Caenorhabditis elegans: one gene and its partners. The protein of the gene in region 4 interacts with the protein of the main gene of each other region in a pairwise test. Each region holds a gene or a part of one and is shown on either strand. Other genes may lie near its edges. The genes, in order: hsb-1, rpl-9, ugt-60 and F39H12.1.

The links.
Region 1: the proteins of F39H12.1 (region 4) and hsb-1 interact in a two-hybrid assay, tested with the Caenorhabditis elegans proteins (one large-scale study listed by BioGRID).
Region 2: the proteins of F39H12.1 (region 4) and rpl-9 interact in a two-hybrid assay, tested with the Caenorhabditis elegans proteins (one large-scale study listed by BioGRID).
Region 3: the proteins of F39H12.1 (region 4) and ugt-60 interact in a two-hybrid assay, tested with the Caenorhabditis elegans proteins (one large-scale study listed by BioGRID).

What each region holds. Positions count from the first base shown.
Region 1 is NC_003282.8:12,565,068-12,570,392, reverse strand, and holds hsb-1 (Heat shock factor-binding protein 1), read left to right. Parts: upstream 1-3,166; 5' UTR 3,167-3,180; coding exon 3,181-3,261; intron 3,262-3,315; coding exon 3,316-3,477; 3' UTR 3,478-3,482; intron 3,483-3,964; 3' UTR 3,965-4,298; downstream 4,299-5,325. Other genes in the region: Protein let-99, read right to left, coding at 1-269, 610-794, 853-2,042, 2,090-2,442, 2,493-2,537; eak-7 (MTOR-associated protein MEAK7), read left to right, coding at 4,412-4,537, 4,593-4,772, 4,820-5,246.
Region 2 is NC_003281.10:7,570,712-7,575,602, reverse strand, and holds rpl-9 (Large ribosomal subunit protein uL6), read left to right. Parts: upstream 1-2,771; 5' UTR 2,772-2,787; coding exon 2,788-3,120; intron 3,121-3,171; coding exon 3,172-3,304; intron 3,305-3,354; coding exon 3,355-3,458; 3' UTR 3,459-3,498; downstream 3,499-4,891. Other genes in the region: mfsd-6 (Major facilitator superfamily associated domain-containing protein), read left to right, coding at 1-139; lpd-7 (Pescadillo homolog), read right to left, coding at 463-764, 864-1,899, 1,945-2,079, 2,127-2,249.
Region 3 is NC_003281.10:9,675,021-9,681,691, reverse strand, and holds ugt-60 (Putative UDP-glucuronosyltransferase ugt-60), read left to right. Parts: upstream 1-2,640; 5' UTR 2,641-2,688; coding exon 2,689-2,810; intron 2,811-2,939; coding exon 2,940-3,081; intron 3,082-3,127; coding exon 3,128-3,343; intron 3,344-3,595; coding exon 3,596-3,695; intron 3,696-3,748; coding exon 3,749-3,865; intron 3,866-3,919; coding exon 3,920-4,185; intron 4,186-4,248; coding exon 4,249-4,446; intron 4,447-4,716; coding exon 4,717-4,868; intron 4,869-5,013; coding exon 5,014-5,224; 3' UTR 5,225-5,372; downstream 5,373-6,671. Other genes in the region: putative calcium-binding protein C07A9.5, read left to right, coding at 1-5, 55-168; C07A9.13 (USP domain-containing protein), read left to right, coding at 423-791, 1,473-1,994.
Region 4 is NC_003284.9:831,852-838,798, forward strand, and holds F39H12.1 (Pericentrin), read left to right. Parts: upstream 1-2,926; 5' UTR 2,927-2,937; coding exon 2,938-3,133; intron 3,134-3,190; coding exon 3,191-3,263; intron 3,264-3,494; coding exon 3,495-3,555; intron 3,556-3,931; coding exon 3,932-4,196; intron 4,197-4,246; coding exon 4,247-4,395; intron 4,396-4,439; coding exon 4,440-4,667; intron 4,668-4,728; coding exon 4,729-4,884; intron 4,885-5,610; coding exon 5,611-5,721; intron 5,722-5,766; coding exon 5,767-5,820; 3' UTR 5,821-5,970; downstream 5,971-6,947. Other genes in the region: wdr-54 (WD repeat-containing protein 54 beta-propeller domain-containing protein), read left to right, coding at 1-102, 153-226, 594-724, 766-871, 1,309-1,437, 1,492-1,647; F39H12.3 (RIIa domain-containing protein), read right to left, coding at 6,455-6,548, 6,858-6,947.

The DNA of each region.
Region 1 (5,325 bases), on a different chromosome or scaffold from region 4:
TCTCTTAGTGGTTTCTTAAAAACTGCCGGAGATGCTTGCGGTTTATCCGGAACTGGTGGTTGCCAATCATTTCGACTTCTGGTGATCTTTGCGTACCGAGGACCACTATATCTGTCCTTTTCTTCACATTCCAATCGTTTGACCTGTTCGATAAATTCAACAGGTACTGCAAAAAGAGATTGAAAGTTTGCGAGGAGGACAGCGGTTATCAGCATTCCTTGTTGCTTTCGGCATTTACTACAAACACCTGTCCAGAGTCCGATGATTGCCTGAAATCGAAAATTTAAAATTGATATTACGCAGACGCAAAAGTTCGCGACAAAAGTACGGTACCGGTCTCGAGGCGACAAATTTTTCTTTTGTCGAATGAAACGAATGAAGATTTCTGCAGAATTTTAATTGTTGAAATATAGGTGTTAATTTTGTAGTGCTAAATTGATAAATATTTTTTTTTATCAAATAACTAATTAAAATCCATAAAAATTCGGCAGAAATGAGAGTTTGAAATTACAGTACTCCTTGAGGGCGCACACATTTTCTTATCTAACAAAAAGTTGTCGTGTCGAGACCGGTTACAGTAGTTTTCTTGCAAAATTATCCCCTCCTTACCGCTTCCCGATTGTTGGAAGATCCGTTAGAAGGATCAGCGAGGTCGAAAACTGCATTCGTTTCGATCGATTGAATGAATGTAACAAATTTGTGAAGTTTCCGACGTCGTGAAGTTGGAAGCGAAAGAAGTACCAATTGAATTGCTTCGATCAACCATTGCTCTCGGATTTCGTAGGATTTTTCGTCTGAAATTATAATTTTAAGTAAAAATCGTGAAACTGTAATAAAAATAAAATTCTTTACCTTGTATTTCCAAATTCACTCTATTATCAAATGGTGATAACGCACGTCGTCGATACTTTGAAGCTCGAATTCCGCATGCTGGAAGATCACGGGAGAATCCATCGACCATCAATCCAGCCTCCTCAATACTAGACGCAGACGAAGAAATCATCACTTTCGACCATCGCCTTGCAGGCCCATTGTCAAGCATTGCCGCGAAGCTATCGATTTTGCAGAGGAGATTAACAATAAGAGAGCATTCATCGAATTGAAGAGGAGCATTCAAGTCTTCGAGACGATTGACTAGAGTTATGAAAATCCGATTGACGTTGTATTCCAACCCTGTGTCCATTTTTTTATGCGTGACGAAGGGATATCGAACAAGATAATCCATGAATTGAATAACAGTTTGGGGATAATCGGGCTGCAGTCCCTGACATCTCGATTTGACGATTCCATCAGCATGATCTATTTCAATCATGTTCCACTGAATATCGTATCCATCGACTTTAGATGCCCATTCACAGGGAAGAGTGCGATCGTAAATTTGTTCCAATCGTCCAAGCAGCTCTGTTTTCCAAAATGAGCATTCGTTGTTTGCCTGGACAGAGTCTGCAACTGGAACAACCGACGATCTTCTCATGATGGATTCGTACATTCTTCCACGCGATAACAATGCTGGATTTGATCCTGCGATGCTTGTCCGATGATTTTGATATCTGCTAGGAACTGCAGGCAACGGTCCTTGTGGATGCATAAAGACGACGTCTTTCGGGGCTTCTCGAATTGGCGGAGTGGTTACTTTCTGACTACGAAGAGCAGCTTCAGCTTTTTCTTGTTCCAAAACACAATGATTTCGATCAAGGGATGCTGAACGACGGGTTGGTTGATTGACTTTCGTGTGATTTCGTCTTGATTTGAAAAACGGTAACCAATCATAAACCTTCTCTTTCATCTCAGAAACTTCTCGTTTTTCAGTATATTCTTCTGTACAGATACTTTCAAGTGATCTGTTCAAAATCTTCGGAGTTCGTTGTTTCTTCGGGATTTCATCGTCTTTATGATCATCGAAACCGTGATTCTCAACGCCGCCTGAAGAATTATCGATGCCTGCTTTGTCAATGTTGCCATTAGATCGCGATAATCTTCGTGGGAGCCTTGCCTTTGGTGGCCGGTGCATTGTCGCGGCAGGAGAGGCAGGTTGAGCAACTCTGGAAATATATTTTATAGCACAGTTTAAAATGATTATTTGGCATACTTTGCACTTTTGCGAGCACCACTGAAAGACGCTGATCGACGTGATCGGGGCTTGGGATGCTTCAACTCATCCAAAGTCTTCATGAACAAATATATTCTCGATTCACTGAATGGCCTCCTTTGCTTGACTTTCTTCGGGAAGGCTTCTGAAATCACGTTCATGTCCATCATGAACTCCAGGAACTTCTGCATCTTGTCTCGTTCCGGAACATTGTTAGGGATGATTCGTGGCATTTCAATCATCAGAAAATCCACAGCTTCTTTCCCGCTGAAACTGTTTTCCGCAGTGGCCAATCCTCTTCTGTTCGTTTTGAGTGATAAGTTTGAACGAAAATGCCATAGAATTTCGTCGAACTGAAAATCAGAATAAAATTTCAAAAGACAAATGTGAAACATTTTAATACCAGATGCGTCGCCTTGAACTTCTCCGATGAGTAGTCGGCAGACATCACGGCAAGACGGCCTAAAACTTGAATTTTGATGGTTTATTGATAAATTTAAGAACTTCTTAAAAGAAAACGAGATTTCATCACGAAAAAAAGCAAGAATGAGGAAAAATTTCTGGAAACTTCCTAAAAATTGCTGAAACGAGTGAAGTTTTGGCGCCGAAGTTTTGTTTACGGACCAAACACACGAAAACACGACTTGTCACACAACTTATTAGCTACAGTAACCCATTCTGCTTTGAAAATTTCTCTTTTTAATTAAAAATTCCTCGATTCAGATGTTTTTTTTTTCTCAAAGTGTTTCTAATAATTATATTTTCCTCGAAATCCACACTATTTTACATAAAACAAATCATCTTATTCTGCTCTTTTCGCCGTTTACACCATCTGTCCTTCTCCAATGACTCCTTCTCTGCGTCTCTTTCACTCTCTCGCCGCCCTCTTTTTCTCTGTCGTCTCTCACTTCGACGTACTTTCTCTCGTGTTGTTGTTCCCGTACTTTTGTGTGTTCCACTGTTTGTGAGATGACGGCTAGTTGCCTGGTACTGGATTCTCACCAGTTTTAATTGATTTTTCATCAAATTTTCTTTAAAAACTGATTAAACTTTGTGATTTTTATCGTATTTTTACAGATTTTCAGTTCAAAATGTCCGATGAGAAGTCTACCACACCAACCGCTCAACTCGACGCTCCAGCCGATGGAAATATGAATGATTTGACGTCGTTGGTACGTAAATACTTGAAAAAAATTGTCAATTTTCTAAAAAATCCTAAAACTCAGATACAAGGAGTTCTGCAACAGACACAGGATCGATTCCAGCACATGTCGGATCAGATTATTCGGCGAATCGATGATATGACAACGAGAATCGATGATTTGGAGAAGAATATCAACGATTTGCTGCAATCGAACCAAGTTGAACATCCGCCAAGCGCTCAATAAGATTGGTACGGAATGAGAAAAATGGGAAACATTCTCAAAAATTTCGGTCGATGTTTTGACCACTCGTTATTTTTGAAAAACAGTGTTGTTTTTGATGTCGACTTTGAAATTTCAAAAAAAAACAATAATATGGGCCGTGGGACCCAATTAGAAATACAGTAAAAAACGCTCTTTGGCCGAATATTTTATAATTTTCATGTATGAAGTCAATCCTTTTATTCCTTCTTAACTTTAGTTTGAAATATATTTAGATTTCCTAGCGCCTTTCCAATCGATTTACCACGTGGTAATCAGGCCGATTGCACCGTTATTCCAAGACTTTATCATTAAAAATTAGTATAAAAATATAGAACTTCACCTATTAATTTTGGCTGAAAAATTCGCCGAAGAGCTCAAAAATGGTCTGAAAGATGCCAAATTTCCACTAAAAAATCAATTTGTAGAGATTATTAATAACTAATCTCTCTTCAATTTCTATTTTTTCCAGCTCTACACTCTTCCCAAATGAATCATCGTCGCTTCCTTCTTCATCATCATCATAATTCCAATTCGTTTTGTGTGCTTCTCTGCGTCTCTCCTACATACATATACTCTTTTCACGTCTTCTTCTTCTTCTTTTTCTACTGATTATGCACGTGTTGAGAGGATTCATGACTACTATGTTGTGCCTCCTGCTTTTAATCTCTTATTCAATAACTTTTGTTGCATTTTATTACGATTTTCGGAATTATTTTATTTATATGTGAAAACACAAATTTTGCCAAAAATTCAAATTTTTGTGCATTTTTAAAAAAAATTTTCAATATGAAACTATTCATCTTACTTTTTCTTCTTCTTCCCTTGAATTTTTTCTCATACTAAATGTTGATTTCTCACAGTTTTTACTAACTATTTCGCATCCGGATTTTCAGATAAAAAACATATAATTTCAGAAATGGGAGCTCAAAATTCGAAGCGAAAAGATCTAAAAAATATTAACGATGAGGATTATGCACATTTTATGGAAAAACTCAAAAAACACACAGATGGAAAGGACAAAATGACGCGAGACCAGTTTGTGGTGAATTAATTTTTAGAAGGAAAATACATTTTAATATAAAATTTTCAAATTCCAGGCAATGTTCATACCGATTCTGGGTGAATATTCATCACAATTCTACTTTCGTTTGGTAAAAAACGAGCCGCAGGGCGTTTTGCTCGCTAAAACAATCCTAAAATGTATTGATACTGGACTGGGACATTTCGATCAGCTCGCCGATATGCTCAGATTCTGTTTTGGAGATCAAAAAGATCAGGTTTCGAATTTATTAATTTAAAGAAAAACTTCTTTTTTTTTTGTCAGATAATGCGAAATGTTGTGAAAATCTTCTGTGAAGGAAACAAATTCACCCGAGAGGATCAGGTCCGTCTCTACGATTATTTCGAAACAGAAAATACAAAACCAGTGAGCGAACTGGAAAGCTTTTTCTCAATGTGCCCACTGTTCGCCTATTGTGCTTCGTTCATTTTCCAACGACTTTTGGATAAAACTGGAGACTCGAAAATGCCAATTCTCTCGGACAAGACTCATTTAATGGGAAATATCGATCAATTAGTGCTCAACTCGCACCTTCCATTCGATCGACGCAAAAATTGGACACTTTTATATTCAAACATGAAACACGGGCAAAGTTTCTCACAATTGGTTAAATGTATTAATGGAGAAGGTCCTTGTATGATTGTGATCAGATCAATGAAAGGACGACGATTTGGGTTTTTCGCCTCGCAAGGTACACAAGAAATGTTGTGTCGATTTACGCAGCTCGTGTACTCCTCGAGAAGAATTTATACCTTATGATTTGCAGAAGA
Region 2 (4,891 bases), on a different chromosome or scaffold from region 4:
AGGAGTCCCGATGGCTCGGGATGGAAAAATCACAGATGCTTTCAATGCAACTACCGTAGTCAATGCAAACTATGGTGCAATTGCTCAAGAAGATCCAACACAGGATGCTTATGATAGATATGTATCCACGACACGTTAGATCGAAGATGCTTAGGCTGTATTTGAAAAATAACAAAAAAGCAATACAACAAAATCCACGACAACCAATACAAAATCGCCTTAGATCTCACCTAGTTTTACTTATAAAAAAGCAATAAGTCATGATTTCTATTTATATTTAACTTATTTTTTGTCACTTTGAATTTGAATAAAAACTGTTTTTCAATTGTAAAATTATTTCCGAACGTCATTTATCAATGATAATGGGCATAATAATGGTAACAAAACAAAGATGGATTATTAAAAGAGATAAAATCAACAATTTCAACAAAACAAAACGAGAGAACACAACTTGCATATGATTTATGCCTCTGTTGCCTTTGCCAACTTGGCCTTCTTCTTCAATTTCAAAGCGTCGTTGCGATTGCGTTTGAACGTGGTCTTCATACTGTGGTACACTCGTTGGTGCTTCTTGGAAATCATCAATTCGCGCATCTTCAACTCCTGTCCCTTCTCGACAGTCTCGTGGAACTTCTCTTTGCTCTTCTTGTGCATTTGACCAACAGCAATGTGAATACCCTTTGGTTTTTCTGGTTTCACCTCCTTTCTTCGCATTGGCAACTCGTCCATCGTCTTCGGAATTGCTGCTTCGAGATCAGACACGTCTGAACAATATTTTATTAAAGGACGTGAATTTAATATCTCGTTCCTTCAGATCAGATTGAAAAGATAGAATACTACACAAAAGTAAAAACAAAACACACCTTTGCCCATGCTTCTGAGTTCTTCCAATCTTTCGAACGGAATGTAGTCTCCAGCCTTCTCAGATGTAAATGGTGAGAAATGTGGCGGAAGAGCTACTCCTGGCATGTATCTTTCCGTAGGCAGCTTCCTGCGAGCATTCAGACAATCGAACACCCACTGTGGCTGTACATAAAGTCTATTCACCTCCAGCTTGTCCATTGGCCGATCGACAACGTGGTGACTGATATTTTTACTGTCGGCCTTGAGATCTGTAGGGCCTCCTTCCCATCCAACAATTCCACCTCCATTACGAATAATAAAAGTGAGTGCTTCTTTTGGGCACTCTCGATTCAAGTAGAAAACGCAACCTTTGAACATAGTCTTGATGCTTTTTGCTTCTCTGACTTTTTGCGCGAGTGCATCAGAGTCTTCACCAAGAAGGTCCAACGGCTCATCGTCTTCAGCCTGCTCAACATCCTTTCTCTTAGCCAATGGTTTCGCCAAACTGTACACCTTTTCTTTGTATTCTTCAGTCTCCATTTCATCAGTTTTCACGACTTGCCCGATCTGTGGTGGGTAGAAGAGTCCGATGTCTTGATAGAGCTTGAAATTGACAAACCCCAACATGGCAATGTAAAACTCGACGAAAGTCACGAGGACTGTGAAATCAACATCGGTGACATGTGGAAGACCACGCTCGTGTGGAACAACCCAAGTGATTTTCTCTCCATGTACCTCCGCTTGATAGTAAATTCCCTTGATCGAGATGAAGGTATTGCGAAGAGATTGCGATTCAATCACATAGTGCATGAACTCCGCAGTGAGTTTTCGGCAACTGTCAATCATTCCTTCTTTGAGAACACGAGTATGTGGAAGCATAGCGAATGTGAAGCAAAGGGACAAGGCGTCATCCATATCTCTGAGAGCTGATCCAAATGTTGGGAAGCGTTCCTTGACGATAGTGTCCAGACTATAGACTGGCTTGTTTTCGTACAACTTCTTGAGTTTATCCTCTTCCTTCTTTGCTTTCAAGTGATTCAATTTACGCAGGAACACCTAAAAACATTCAAAGTTTATTTTGTTGAACAAAGATAAACTTGCCTTATAATCTCTGAACTTATTGATGATGGGTTCGTGGGCGAGAAAATTGATGTCTTTGCGATAATAGAACACCTTATTTGCAGTTGAACCCTTGTTTGCTTGCTTCTTGTGGGCCGGTTCGTGTGGGTAGATTCCCTGAAAAATTTGAATTCGATGACTAATTTAAAAATTAATGTACTAACCTTAATAATACAAAGTCGGCGGAAGTCCTTCAGTGTAAGTTGAAGCTTCTTCAATGCTTGTTTCCGTGACATATATGCCACGGCAGCTCCGGCTGTGTACTTTTGTTTGAATCGGTCCTTCATTCTGCTGAAAATACGAAATAATAAGACGAAGCTTCCGACGGAATTAACGAGACTATCAAGACACCAGGAAAACTAGTTAGCTGAATATTACTGAATTGCTAAGATAAATTATAAATAGTTGATTTTCTATGTAAATATGAGTGATGCGCGATAAAAAATGGTGAAAACGACCACATTTGGCGAAAAATTGGTGTCGAAGTGAAGAGGGCACAGAAAAGTAGGAGGAGATTCGAAGAGACAGAGAACGCAACTGCCGCACGGTTTCTATTTCGCTGAGTATCGACGCTATACAGCATGTGCGATACGGAGCTTATTTCAACACTGAAAAATATTCCTTCTCCCGACTTTATCTTTCTTCTAACGTTGTTCACTAATCTCCATTTCAAAAGTGTTAGTGCCGTTTCAATTGCAGTTTTTCTTACATGTTTCACGATTAAGTAAAACGTATTGAACCGAACTCTGTTGATTTTTAATTCTTGATATTTACTTTTAATGCGTTGCAATTCATTTTATCGTTTCCAGGTAATCCAGGGAGATCATGAAGCTGATCGAGTCTAACGACACTGTTGTGTTCCCAGAGGGAGTCACCTTCACCGTCAAGAACCGCATCGTCCATGTCACCGGACCACGCGGAACCATCCGCAAGGATTTCCGTCACTTGCACATGGAGATGGAGCGTATCGGAAAGAGCACCCTCCGCGTCCGCAAGTGGTTCGGAGTTCGTAAGGAGCTTGCCGCTATCCGCACTGTCTGCTCCCACATCAAGAACATGATCAAGGGAGTCACCGTCGGATTCCGCTACAAGATGCGTTCCGTATATGCCCATTTCCCCATCAACGTTACCCTTCAAGATGGAAACAGAACTGTTGAGGTAAGTGAAATTATTCATGTGTTTCATAATTCAAACTCACACATTATTCAGATCCGTAACTTCTTGGGAGAGAAGATCGTTCGTCGTGTCCCACTTCCAGAGGGAGTCATCGCCACCATCTCCACCGCCCAAAAGGACGAGATCGTAGTCGAGGGAAATGATGTCCAATTCGTATCTCAAGCCGGTAAGAAAACTTATTTTGTTTATTTCACATTTAAATTATTATTTCTGCAGCTGCCCGTATCCAACAATCCACCGCCGTTAAGGAGAAGGATATCCGTAAATTCCTCGACGGAATCTACGTTTCGGAGAAGACCACCATCGTCCCAACTGACTAATTTCTAGTCGCTTTTTGTTAATGAATTTGTTATCAAAATCTGAAGTTTTTATTTGAATTAGCGAACAACGAATCTGGTCAAAGGTGCTAATGGAGTGCATTACTAGAGAAAGCGACGGTGATTGTATTATCTGGACTATTTGTACAAATTTTGTGGTTCTGTAGATAATATTGGGTTTTTTCCAAAATTCGGGAGAAACTTTCCATGGCCATAGCGCTGTTTGAAAATGTATCGTAATTTGGCAAGATTTTGGTAGGTCTTAAAGGCGCATAGACTTATTCAGATGGGTATCGGCACACAAAAAGTTTACGGTAGCCTTTTTTTTGCGGCTGCTTCCTTGTTTCGGTTCCATGCAAAAAATAAAAACAATGTAATTTCATTGAAACGTACAAGGAAAATATGTAAACAAGGAAGCAGTCACAAAAATTAAACAAAAGATAATACCATAACTATGTTGCGTGGTGAGACCCATTTGAATAAATCCATGCGCCTTTAAGAGCACATGTCAAAAATTAATCAACTCAATAGCAAGGATGAAAATTTACTACAAACTATTTTGAAATTTGAAGATCTGGCAATAAAAAAATATTTTTAAAAAAGTATTTCTGTGGTGATGTCACTGAGGAGATGCTGAAATGATGAAATCTGTAAAATATATTAGAAAATGTTTAAGTTACGGTCAAAAATTCCAATAACTCAGTTTTCCCCTAGCAAGTTTTTGAAGACGACCAAGAAAATTGTGTTTCTTAATAATACAATCATGTTTTTTTAAACGATTGTAGTGGCTCAAACCTGAAACACTTCTCGAAATTTCTCAGAAAGTCCAAATTCAGTGACCAAGAACTAACTGCACAATTTGAAAAAAATTACAATCCGACATATGTATATATATATATATATATATATATCGTATTTCCTCTGTTAGTTAGGCGCCTCTATTAGTTTTGCATCAAAAATCACCAATCGAAAATTAGTTTTGCACCCTCTATTAGTTTCGCACCTCTAATAGTTTTGCTCCCCTTCATTTGTTCCCTATTTTTAGGAATTCAAAAATTTGCATTATAAAGTCGTTCTAAAAATTAGGAAAACTTTTACAGACTTGGTATAACAAGTCAAAACTGGCAAAATATGAGTACAATTCGGACAATTTTTGCATATCAGTCTTAAAATTCGTCCATTTTAGTTTATAGTTGTTATTGAAATTGATGATATTATGCTTGGACAGGAACGATACAGACGTAGGTCGCTTTACAGCTTTTCCCAAATTTAGAACACTTATTCAGATCTTTCAAACTCCTGATGTTTGAGCTCAAGTAAACTGTGGGACATTGCACTATTCTAGCATACTCACAACCATCCCTTTTCATTATTCTTTTCTTTCAATATTCTCTTCTATCTTTCTCCAACAACGACCCAAATGTGCCAGCACCTAG
Region 3 (6,671 bases), on a different chromosome or scaffold from region 4:
CGGATGTAATTCCATATTTTCATATATATAGTTAAAATACATTATGATTTTCAGAGTATGTCTCGAAAAGAAGCTGAATTCTTCATGAGCAAGATTGCAAAGAAGGCCGAGACCAGCTCAGACCAAGTTTGCCTGGAATATAAGGATTTCGTTAACAGTTTTTATTAAATTATTATATGATCAAATAAAATATATTTTAATGGTCAATTATCAATATTTTTTGTAATAAAGTATGTATTGTTTGTTTTTACAACATTGTTTCAATGTATCTTCTGAAAACGTGTACTCCGAACGCTTCCATACTTGATTAATCTTATCATAAAACTTCATCATCAAAATCACATGAAAAAGGGCGTGAAAAACGTGAAAGCATTTTATTTCCATTTTTTAGAAATCATTATTATTCTTATTGTTCTACTACAATGCCATTCGGAGGTGCTGCTCCAGTTGCTGCCGGCGTTTCTGCTCCAGACGCTGACGATGTTCCTTCTCCAGATTATGCAGCCACCTCAGGTCTTCAGCTCGTTCGTCCTCATAGGGTGAAGTCTTCGTGCCTTACCCTTCGTAACGGCGGAGATGATTGCTTCATGAACGTTGTATTGCAGCTTCTGAAGCGTGCTTCGTTTGAAGATCATCTCCGTACATGTTGCGTTGGTGAGATGCATGAAGAGCTGAGGAAACTGCTCTCTGGTGAAAAAGACGTTGTCGGTCATCTGAGAGGAATGCTGAGCAGTAGCGAGCTGCACAAGGGAGTCAATTCGCCGTCATTTGCATTTGTAATTTTGCTAAAAGTGAGTATCAGATATTAATACCGTATTTCCTCTATTAGTAAATATTGCAGTCTCTAATAGTCTTCCATCCCACTTTTTAGACCTGCAAAACTTTCCGGAAACGTCAGAAAATTTGCCATTTCTGAGTAAATTAAACATGAAATGGTTCAAATAATAGATAAAATATTGGAAAATGGTCGCTTTCCCTAGGTTGTTGGGCATTCGAAAAATAGTCTTACAACCTCTAATATTCTTGCAGTCTCTATTAGTCTTGCACCCTAACGGACCAATTGAAAATTAGTCTTGAAAACTAGGCATGCAAGACTAATAGAGGAAATACGGTAACTTATTTTGTAACTACCCAAAACCATGCGTGCTTATTTTATCGCCATATTCGATGCGCAAATATCACATGAATACAGTAACCCGGTCGAATCAGTCACATCAAAAAAATGGTATTTCCTCGTCGAATATGGCCGCCGTTTTTCAAATTTTTGGTGTTTTTTTGAGAAAAAAACCGAGAACGAGAATTGGAATAAAAAATAACATTAAAAGGCGAATTTTAAAAAAAGCGAATGAAAATGCGAATAATTTAGAGAAGTTTCCTTAATTTCTATTTAAATAGAGGAACTAAATTTTTCGAAGATATATTAATCTAAATTTGTTAATTTTGAAAAAAAATCAGTTCAATATAAATTTCAGGACTTGGCTGTAGAGTGTAAGAACGACGCCAAGGTTCCCCATCCCATGCGGTACAAGAGCCACGTTGTTTGCAGTGTTCAAGGCTGCACAAAGCCGAAGCCGTCGAATTGGCCACTTTTCTGTGTGAAATTGCCAAAAGGAAAGTCGTTCACCGACATGGTGCTCCAGAAGCCATGGGAATGTAAGGACCACTTGGGAAAATCGGCTATGATCGAGAAGAAGATCATAGCCGACAAGTTCAACTCGAACTTCATATGGATCCATGTTGACTCTGCTGAGGGACGTTACAAACAAATGAGGATGAAGGACAACCAGGAATTCATCATCTTTGGAGAACATTGTCGGCTGGTCGGCTTTCTGGACGTTAAGATAGTACCCGAAGGCTTACACGGAATCGTTTGGATACATAATGGCGGAGGTTGGAGCCGGGTTTCGGATCATCACAAGAAGGAGTTTTGGAGCACGTCATTCGACATGGACTCAATCTATGCAGGCGCTCTGTTCCTGTTCGAGCGCAAATAAGAACTTTGTTTTTTAAATTAAATAAATTTTTTTCAATACTGTTTTTTTTAGCCGGACAACGTTTTCTTGCCTTGAGGATGGCCCCAAGTGATTTTATTCTTTTAATAAAATATAATCCAAACAAGAAAAGGTCAAGGCCCCCACGAGTCCGACAAAGAAAGAGAGGAACAAAATAATAGTGAGACCGGCAAGCGGAATGAGAAAGAAAAAAGAGAACAAAAAGGGAATTAGAGATCATAAACATAATTAAAACCGGAAAAATATTCAAATGAGGAATAAATCATGTAACAAATTGACGGGGAAAGAGAAAATGGGGAGTATTATGGAAAATGGATTTCCAGAAGGGGACAGTTGAGGTGAAAAAATCACTAACTTTGGGTTTTATACATATAATAATCATAAGCCTTTTTTGGGACTCTGTTATTCTGATCTGATCGTTTGAGTTAACTCCTAATGAGTAAAATACGAGGTACCGCTAATTGCAAGAAAATCACAAAACTTATTCTCAAAAACGGGTTCTGATTTAAGAATTTAATCAATAAACGATGTCCTTGTAACAAATGATACCACTGATCATTCGACCCTTTTTATTATCATTTCTCCATATCAGACACCTCCTGCAAATCCTTTGCATCTTACTTATCTCTTTTACCAATCGTTCTCTCAATGTTACAATTCAGATTGTCGAAAGATCATGTATCTACCTATTTTTTGTATTTTTCTGTCAGTTGTCGATTCCCTTCGAATATTGCAAATTGTACCCGGTTTCACTAATTCTCATGTTTTATTCAATTACCGACTTGCAGAAACCCTCAGGTATATTTAACGAGGGTTTTATTTTATGAAAAAACCAAAAAAAAGTTAATAAAAATGAAAAAAAAATGCTAAATGCTAAATTGTGTTTTAGAAATAACCTCAAAAAAAAATCCGCAGTTTTTATTTAAGATTTCTCGGTCATGATGTCAAAATGTGGACTCAAATGGAAATGGCGATGCTTGACACGGGAAATAACAAACTTCCGGAAGGTGTTTCTGAATACAGAATACCAATTCATTTCACGGATACTTTGAAAACTGAAGGATTGAAAGTAATCAATTAAACATTCCAAATATCTATTTAAGAAGTTTTTGCAGGTCTTCCAATCAATGATGTTCGAATCAGGAGATGCTCATGATTTATGGTGGACTGGTCAAGAATTCAAAGATATGAGAGTAGAAGCATGTGAACAAATGCTTCGACACGATGAAAGTGTGTATGAAGATTTTAGGAAAGACGGTTTTGATGTCGCCATTGCACATTTCCATGATTTGTGTCCACTTGCAATTGCGAAGAAAATGAATGTAAAAAGAGTAAGTGGAAGAGGAAAAGATTAGGATCTAGAAGAGTATCTTAAATTTAGGACTTGATGATTTTTATCGACTTTTAATAATTTTTAATTAATAATATCTAATCATGATTAGAAAACTGCATGAAAATCCGGATGAAAACTGAAATTGCCGATATCTTTCAAATAAAACACAAATATTTATGAGATGAACTTTACTTTTTACAAGATTCATAGTTCAGAGTTTTATTTTTAAAACAAAAAATAAATAATTAAGGTAATCTGGATAACACATGGAACATCAATTTACGAATTCTCGGCTGTACAGCTTGGACTTCGAACGATTCCATCAACGATTCCGCATCCACTTTCTTCAGGTATTTGACGCGTCTAGCTCAATTTTTTAGTAAGCAAAACTTTTCATTTTCAGCTGGTTTCTCTCAATTATTTCTGGATCGTGTACAAAATACTCTTTGGCATCTGTCACTTCTTGATTTTGTGAATCTTCCTCAAAATCTTCTCGTTGACGAGAATTTGTTCTATCGAGGTTTGTATGGCTGTGTACTGAGGGATCAAACAATTCGAAAATCAAAAATTTCAGAGTTCGTCGGTGCTGACCAAGATGATTTATGGGATTTAGCAAAAACCACAGTACCATCATTATTAATTAATGGGGATAGAATGCTTGATTTTCCACGACCACTTCCAATTCATATCGCTTTTTCTGGAGAACTGGGAGTTAGTAAAGGAAAGAAGCTGGTTATGGAAAAATGGTTAGAAGATATAATTGAGAAACCATCGGATGGACTTATTGTATTTTCATTGGGAACTGTATCAAATACTACAAATATGCCAGCTCAAATGATTGTAAGTTATTTGCTTTTGCTTCCAAATGGCTAAAACTCCTATTGTTTAATACAATAAATTCAGAACTCTTTCCTCGGCGCATTCGGAAAATTGAAGACTTACACAATTCTTTGGAGGATGGAAAAATCTGTGGCGGGAGCTGAAAAGTATGAGAATCTGCATTTGGTGAAGTGGTTACCGCAGAAGGATATTATGAGACACCCAAAAATGAAATTAATGATTGCACATGGAGGCTATAATTCTTTCTTGGAAGCTGCACAGGTGAGGGATCATTCAATATCACAACAAAGAAAATATTGTCAAATCCATCAATTGGTGCTCAAATGACAAAATATTATAGAGAATCTTTTCACCAATGTATTTTTGAGCTTGCAGAAGAGCTTGAAATACGTAGACACCCCCATTTACGCTATTTCTTCACTTTTAAATTCCAAATTGTCCGAATTTCCAAAACTCATCTAGAAATTGTCATTTTTTGTCTTTGTAGACTTATTATGAATCTACGATTCTTGTATCAAATAGTAGTTTCAGGCTGGAATCCCTGCTGTTCTGATGCCACTATTTGCGGATCAGAAGATCAATGCAAAGAGAGCCCAGAGATATGGAATGGCAACTGTACTGGATAAATTAGATTTGACTATCAATAATGTTTATGGAGCCATCAAGGAAGCATTGAAACCGGAGTAAGTTTGACAGGACAGTTTAGAAAATTCACTTTTTAACAAAGTTAACATTCCAAAACCAACGAACTTATTTTTGTGAAAAAATTGCAAAAATCTAATAGTAAAAATCTTTACTAATGGAAACAGATTCAAAATATATTTTCAGGTACTCCACAAATGCAAAAAAACTATCCGCGATGCTCTCAGATCAAGTTGCTCGAAAACCTTATTCTGCACTCCGATACTCTCTGAAATTAGCAACAAGTCCGAAACCTTCTCTGTTCACACTGAAATCTCAACATTTATCATTCTTGGAATTCCATAATCTTGACATATTTTCGATTGTATTGCTAACTGCGTTTATTGTATGTTTTTAGAGAAAACCAACTAATTGAAAAAAATTTGGGTAACTTAAAAATTTGACTTTTCGAAAAAATTGTCTTTTCGGCAAAAACAGTTGCTTGTATGAAATTAAAGAAAAACAACAAAACTGTAATAAGAAGATTTGAAAATTCACCTGAACACTGTAAAGCTTTGGGAGATGCTGAAGGTTTTAAAATCATGTTTGGACAGTTTTTTGTTAATTTTTGAAACATCTCGTCTATTTTCAGAGGTTCTATAACTAATTTTTGCCGGAATGTGGAAAAAATATATCTTAAAATTAACTAGTAAATTATTCTCGGAGTAGTCGAGTAATAATAGTGCGGTACTTTTCTCCAGAACATAATTTTTTTGATTATATAGTAGTACCATCCCTCTCCTTGTTAGCTACTTTCATATGAATAAATAAGCATACATTTATAAATGCCAAAAGCTAAGATTGAAAGATCAAGTCACATACTAGTCACATACGAGTCCAATGTACGTGTGCAATATTTATTCATATATTTACATCTCAATAGGTGTAATTAACTTCCTGTTACAAATGTTTCAGAGGATGAGAAAATGTATGGTATACCAAATATTCACTTCCGTGTTTTTTTTTTTCGTCTAACAACAAAATCGTTCTTCACAGATTTACATCAGAATTTTCCACAATATAAATACAAGAAAGGTTCCTGAATACAAAAACCTGGGTTCAAAGCTCAATTGTTTTTTCTTGTTTCCACTTAAGTTAAACCGACTCGGTAACAAATCGAGCTTTTTTTTTAAATAAAAACTTCAACGCGGAAGTAATTTTCTCTCTTCTAGAGGTTTTGATGTATCAAAATTTTAGATTTTGAAAAAATATGAACCACGTACTCGGCATTTCGTGTTTTCTTTCTCCCACCCTTTTGCCACCTTTCTACCACCAAAATGTAGAAAGGCGAAAAATGGATAGGGAAAGGCGGCAAAATGGTGGCAGATTGGTGACAATAGGTGGCAACGATGCTATTATTTTTGTTTGTTTTCACTCTGAAAATAAATAAAAACAAACTGCAATTAGGTTATACAATCTAAATTTATTTTATGAAACATCATATACATCATTAAAACATTTTAAATAATTAAAAATTCGTATTTTTCCATAGTTTGCTGCCACATAGCACGAATTTGCCTGTTTTTCGTGGCATTCTCCCGTCGATTTTCGGTAATCTGCAAAAACATGAATAGGAATATGTTTATTTATTAAGTAGAATTTGTAAACCCTTACCTTTCAAGATCCGGTGAGCAACCAGTTCAGGTCGAGCCGTCTGCTATCTCGTAAAAAAAAAATAAAAAAAAATAAAAAAAAAAAATAGATTTAAAAACGTTGAAGAAAAAATTGTTTAAAAAAATTAATTCGAAGAGTTATCCGTGCCAGGATAACATCCGAGAACACGTCAGCACTATCTTGGCGCACAA
Region 4 (6,947 bases):
TTGCGTTGGGTGTGGCGTTGAGAGACTACGTCCCCGCGGTTGGGAAAGATGTAGGACCGTATTGTAGAGGTGTTACCTGTAACGATAATGCTGTATTGGTTGGTGAGTTTGGTGGAAACGCCGATGTCGCTTAAGGAAATACATACATTTAGGAACACATACCGGCGAGATTGTTGTCATCATGTGCAATGGGGACTCCAACTTCTCTAGTCGTAAAAACCTCAAGGTAAATGAGTTTTTTTAAAAACACTGCTCGTTGTGTTCTGCTCTATTAGTAGATTTTTGTTAGTGGGGAGTACCGAAAACAGGCTCTCATGCGCAGTAAACTCAGTCAAGGTGTATAAAGCAGTAAATTTGCAGTCACTAAAAACGGAAAATTCTCATTTCACTGACAGAATTTTCATATTTTAAACATTCCTAACAATTTTATCGGTACATTTTCATGGAAGTAGTGAGAAATCAGTTGTGGAGAATCTCTTTGAAAAGAAAATGTATTCAAACTGTCTTCTTGCTTTGATCTATGGGAAAGTTGGGCCCCCACCCATTTCTTGGCTTCGTGCAAGAAACCCCTCCAATTTCAAATAATGTTTCAGGAACATCGTTGTGCCATCACGGACATAGCCACGTGTCGTTACGATGAAATAACTGTCAGTGCCGATTCGAACGGAGAACTGATCATATGGCAAAAACCCGTAAAAGGGGTGAACTCGAGAGTTATCACAAAGTAATATACTCTAAGTTTCTGACGTAAAATGTTTATTTTAGGCAGCACATCAACGTAATAAATGTGTTGAGAAAGCAGGTGATCGTGGGAACTTTGAGAGGAATTGTTCAGTATTATTCGGTAACTACGGGAGATCTTATGTGTGAGGTAAGAATAGTTGAGGGGGAGGGAATCGGAACTTAACAGAAAATCAGGTGAAAAACTTTGGGATAGCTCAATCGGGATTGATTAAACAATAAATTCACTTGTGGGTCATCCTCAAGGCAATTAAAAAAAATCGGTAATGGTGGCCGCTAGCAATCTGGAGGTCACAAGTTCGAGTCCGGACTCGCCCCGCTAGGTTCATCCAGCCTCTATTGGGAAGTGAAGTAATCCAAGACTATCAACCACAGTCTCCGGCTAGGACGTGGCCTAAATTGTAGCCCATTGGGATTACCACCAGCCAGTGTACCTGACTCCCAGATATGCAGTGCATAGTGCTTGAAGAGCCCTTTATGGAAACATGACTGAAAACTCGGGCTTCTTCTCGATACTTTTTCTATTTTCATGCTTGTGAAAATGTTGCTTATAATAATTTCTCACAGATAAATGCTCATTCAAGACCAGTGAATAGTGTTTCTGTCGCACCGGAAAGCGCATATGTCTTGACTTCTTCCGAGGATGGCACTTTTATCGTTTCGAAGCTTCACACAAGAAAACCACATGCTTATCAAGTTAGTTCACAGAAAGTCGAGAACATTTAGGTATACACAAAAACTCAATTTCAGGTTGAATACCGTTTCTCTGACAGCGATCCGTCCAACGTCATCATGGGAGCGCAATTCACAAATGGACGCGGGAGTGCAATTGCAATTGCCGCATTTGATAGCAACGTCTTGGTGATGTACAAGATTATCAAGAAAACTGCTGTACCTGCTACATAATTATATTTTACTGTGTATCTTCAATTAATATATCTGTATTTGGCTTTTAATATGTTTAATAACAAAAAAACATTACACTCCATGTAGTCTATTTTGCTAGCAAGATTTATCTGTAAAACTAAGATCTGAGTTGTCAAAGCATTGCTTCGCAAGACTAATAATATAATAATTATATAATTTCTCAAAAATGTATTATTCTTTTAAATTCTGGCATTCGATTATGAATTCTCTGTGCATTCTCTCTTTTTCCATTTTGAATGAATTCCATCAATATTAGTAAATGAATGAACTTGTTATTCTTTTATGTGTTTTCTAAACAAAACAGGATTCTGCTAAAAAATGTATACTAGCTTCAAAATATTGCTGTAAAAATGAAGGTTTTATTGATTCTAACTCATGAAACACTCCAAATACTAGAAATCCCGTATTTCCTCTGTTAGTCTGGCACCCCTACGGACCAATTGAAATTTAGTCTTGCATGCAAGACTAACAGAGGAAATACGGTATACATTTCTAGAAGTTGAAACGTCTTAAAAAATAATTTCTCACTATCAGCAATAGCCTTTAAAACACAATTATACCCTATTTTCCCAAAACTGACAAAACTGACATTTTTTAACCTGAAAATTTTTGATTATGTTCTTATTCGCTTTGTCAAGTTGAATAAATTGAATATTATCGTTTTTCTACAAAAATAAATATTCATAATTTATTGTTCCTCCTCAGTCAGCTAGTTATGTTTAGGACAGCTGTTCAACATTCTGCCCCTCCACTCTCTCTCTAGTTCCTCTTGACGCGTAGTGCTATTGATTTATTTTTTGGCAACATGAAAATGAAGATTTTATAGAATTTTTGCATTTTATAAGTACATTTGATTTTGAAAAATAAGGGAAGTTATATTTCGACTGTATTTTTATATCGAAACTCCAATGCCAATTTATTTTCTTGAAATTTATTTAACTGTTGATTTGTTAAAATTTTCAATATACCTAATCAGAAAGTTTTCATTTGAATTTTGAAATCTTAAAATTGTATTGTTATATTTATATTTTAATATTTATTCAACACAACAATTTTGTTATCCCAATACCTCCTGGCCTAGGTTTCTCCACGACACAATGTGTCTCTTCCATTTCCTCTGTTCAACCCAATAAAACGTGGATTCCACTAAATTCCGTCACTGCTTATCTGATTCATCTTTTCTCCTTCCGTCAGAACTTTACACAACACGCTTCTTATTTACCAGCTTTTGTCTGTTCTATTTTACCTTTTTAGTCAGTTTCAGGCACAATGAATGTTAATTGGAAAGAAGCAATACTTCAAGCACAAAAACGAATTGATCAGGTGTTGGATATCAGGCCAGAAGCAGCCGAGGTTGAAGTTGATGTGCCAGATGAAGTTCATGCTGAGCAGGAATGCTCATCTCCGTCACAAGGGTCCGAGCCATTAGCTGACGATATTGTTATGTTGGAACCTGTTTTACCGCGTAAGTTTTTCTTAAATTTAAATGAATAAATATTAATAATTAGTTCCCGTTTTCTAGCATTTCATAATAATCGATATATTGGAGATGATATTCAAACAATTATTTCATCGGACATTGAACATTTAACAAGGTAAGAATTATGTAAACATAACAATAATCTGACCATAATGATAAATTTGTGGATGTATTGACTATAATTATGAGTGCACTAACCCAACTTGGATTATGCACTGACCAACTTGACAGTTGCACTGACCAAGTTGACAGTTGCACTGACCAACTAGACAGTTGCACTGACCAAACTAACAGTTGCACTGACATTACTGGTAGATCTACTGACTAAAAGAAAACATAACTTCAGAGCATCTTCACGGACAGCGTCACCGGATCGATTACGAATAATACCAATGGAGTTTGATACGGTGAGTAGCTACATTAAATGACATCATAGTATACATAACACACAGAAAGTCACTTTCGCTAAGACAAGACAATGATCTGATCTTGAACAAGGTATCAGGGAAATCCTAGACAAGATGTGAAGCGGCAGAAACTAGATTTAAATTTAGAGTGATGGAATTTTAGATTGTGATTTGAATAATGATTTTGTTTCGGGGCGAAGTCTCAGAGCAAGTCAGGGATTAGAAAAACATCAAACTTTATCAGATCGGATCCCAATCCGTTTTGAAATTTGTAGAACGTTTTTCAACAAACAATATACTAGTAAACAGCAAAACTTAGTAATCAAGTACAATACTAATTATCATTTTTCAATACATATATTATTAAAAATTACAGGATATCTCAATATCGAGTGTTGTGAGCCCCGCTGCAGCTCTGACACCTGCTCCAGCACCGGCTCCAGCTCCAGTTGCTGTGCCAGAAGTAACATTACCAAATCCTGAAGAAATTCTCAACCAAGCAATTTATGGATTGCGGAAGGAACTAACGGAGTACAAAAAAGCAAATCAATTCTTACAACACAGCCATGCAAATCTTGAGAGAGAAATGGAGGAAAATAGATTTTCCGTGAATGAAAAAGTTGTGAACATGCTTAGTGAAGGTAAGAAATACTTTTTTAGAAAATATAGATTCAATGACTAAATTTTTCAGAACGGGATCACTTTCATCAAGAAATCTCAAATCTCAAACATACTTGCTCCCAATTAACAAAGGAGAAAATTGAATTAGAGGAAAAGTACCAAAATAGCACAGATTCGTGGCACAGAACTCAAGATGTACTTCAATATTTTAGAAACCAGGTATTTTTTTTGAAAAAATTTTGAAAATTAGGCTATTGTCTTAGATCTCACAAATGAAAGGTGCGCTACAAAAAACAGAAGAAACATTTATCAGTGATTTCGAAACTTTTGGAGCAGAAATTAAAAGAAGCTTGGAGAATCAAGCGAAGAGGAAATCCTCATCACCGAAGATTATACAATTACCCTGTAACTGTGAAAACAAGTCTCGGGAGCAAACGAATCAAGTCGTCAAACATGATGAATCTACACAAACTAAATCAGTATACATTGATGTGAGTTTTTGCTCTAATGGACAATTTTTTGCACAACCGTACTCGTAAATCAATGTTTTAGGAAAGCCATCGGTGGGAGAGAGAAGAAAAGGAAATCGCATCTTCTCCAAATGGCAAGAACGGGAATGTGACCGACCTTCTGCAGATAATTGAACAATTAGAGATGGAAAAGAGACTTCTTTTGGCGCAGAGACGAAGTGATAAAGCGGAAATTGAGGTGAGATAAAAATAAATCGTTTGGGCAAATATCGGTTTTTGCATATTAGATTAATTATTATTTCGGAGGTTAATACCGCCATCTAATCTAAATACACGCTGAATAGTCCAGCACGAGAAAAGATCCTATTACGATATTTAAATTTTGTTTAGATGTTTCAAAGTTTTAAATTAAAGTTTTTATAAAATGACAAAATTATTCAAAGATGTGTAATTTTTGAATGATTTCGAGCATTAATGCAGGTTTGAACACTGAAAATATTTGAATATGATTAATTGACTAGCGGATATATGGGCCCGCCAGCCCTTCGGGAATGGGGATAGGGTTAATTCGCTTTAAGTTATTAGCAAGGTAGCTGGCGCAGGTTCTCGGCTTCGCCTCGAACCTGTTAACGGGTTATTCGAGATCTCTTTGAAATTATTTCAGGAGTGGGGTATATGTTTAGAAAACTTGACTATTCAGGTTTGAGGCTTCGCTCGAAGCTCTTACTGTGTAAAGTGAAATCTCTTTAAACTTCGATTCATTGCTCCAGGGCCGACACTGTACGAATAACTTAGGCTGAGATTTTGTTCAAGAATAATTTGAATGTTTTCAATAAAATAAGCGTGTTTTCAATCATCACTGTGAACTACAAAAAAACGGTGAAGGAAAAGGATTACAAGTGATAAGAACTTCCGAAAATCCCAATTTTTTTCCCCAATTTCAAACAGCAATCCAATTTTTTAGAGGCTGCAAGAACAACTCAATGAGACCTTAATCATGCATGGTGAAAAGATCGAGCAACTTGATGAAATCCTCGTGGACAACGAAGAATTGAAAGATATTTTGAAGCAACAAGTAAGTTGGATCATCGAAACAACAAGATTTTACTTCCCTTTTCAGGCGTTGGCTCTCACGGACAATATTGCACAATCAGATGAAAAGGGTTCTACATAGCATTTTTCACAAGTTTATTCAATTGATTACTAATTATGTAGATTTTATATGTGATATTCAGTTGATCCGAAATGTCTTTTTTTTAGTTTTTGATTCCGATTTGGCTTTCAATTTGAATTTTTTGGTTATTGAATGAAGGGTTTACTTAAAAATTACTTTTCAGCCAAAGAACTATAACAATTTTTGTTTTTTGTAGTTAACCTGGCCCAACAGTATATTCCAATACGGTTTCCATTCATTTCTTCTGAAAATGCTGAATTAATCCAAACGGAAAACTGATTTCCATTTTAGCTTAATATGAAGAAAAAAGGTTGCCCACGTATATTACACAAGTACCGAAATTTAAAAATTTTGAAAAAAAAAACATTCACCAAAAATATTTCTTGACAAAATTTAGAACTCACTAACAGTTGTCTTTTTTTTTATTCATTTGTTCGGATAAGACTTTGATAGTGAAATCATGAAATGAACATTGTTTGTTGGTTTATTTATTAAGAGATAATGACGACGAGTGTATACGATAGGAAGTTAGAAAAATAAAAGTTAGAAAATTTGAAGACAGAAATAATATTAATCTCTGGGCATGAATTCGTTGGAAAGTCTGCGCTGTGAAAAAATTTCGAATATGGTTTTTTTAGTTGTGATCAGAATGGTCGGATTGAAGGGAAGAGTGACTTCTGGATGGAGATAGGCCCTGTTCGTCCAAGTGTTTTCGTGTCAAGAAGCCTCTGAAAAAGACTTGGAGTTGCTAAGTTTGTCATATATATCACTCGCAACATTTTCAGGTACCGTTTGATTTACTTCAAATGTCTCAAAAATTATCAAACTTCAATTTTATAGCAAGTAGGTCTCCAGCAGTTAGTTTAAATAAAATAAACAATTCCCTGTAAAATACTGTCTTCTGCATTCAATCTAATAAAACATAAAACAGTGCTACTTAACCTATGACGTTCTATAACACATTCAGAAATTTTTTGCAAGGGTATAAGTAACTATTACTGATATTTCAAGAAGCAACACAAATATTTTTAACAAACCTAATATGTGCCTGAATCTTAGTTGCCGCGTCAGTATCCTCCTTCTTCATCTTATCAACGTGCTTGCGAGTAAGAAATCCGCGAATTTCA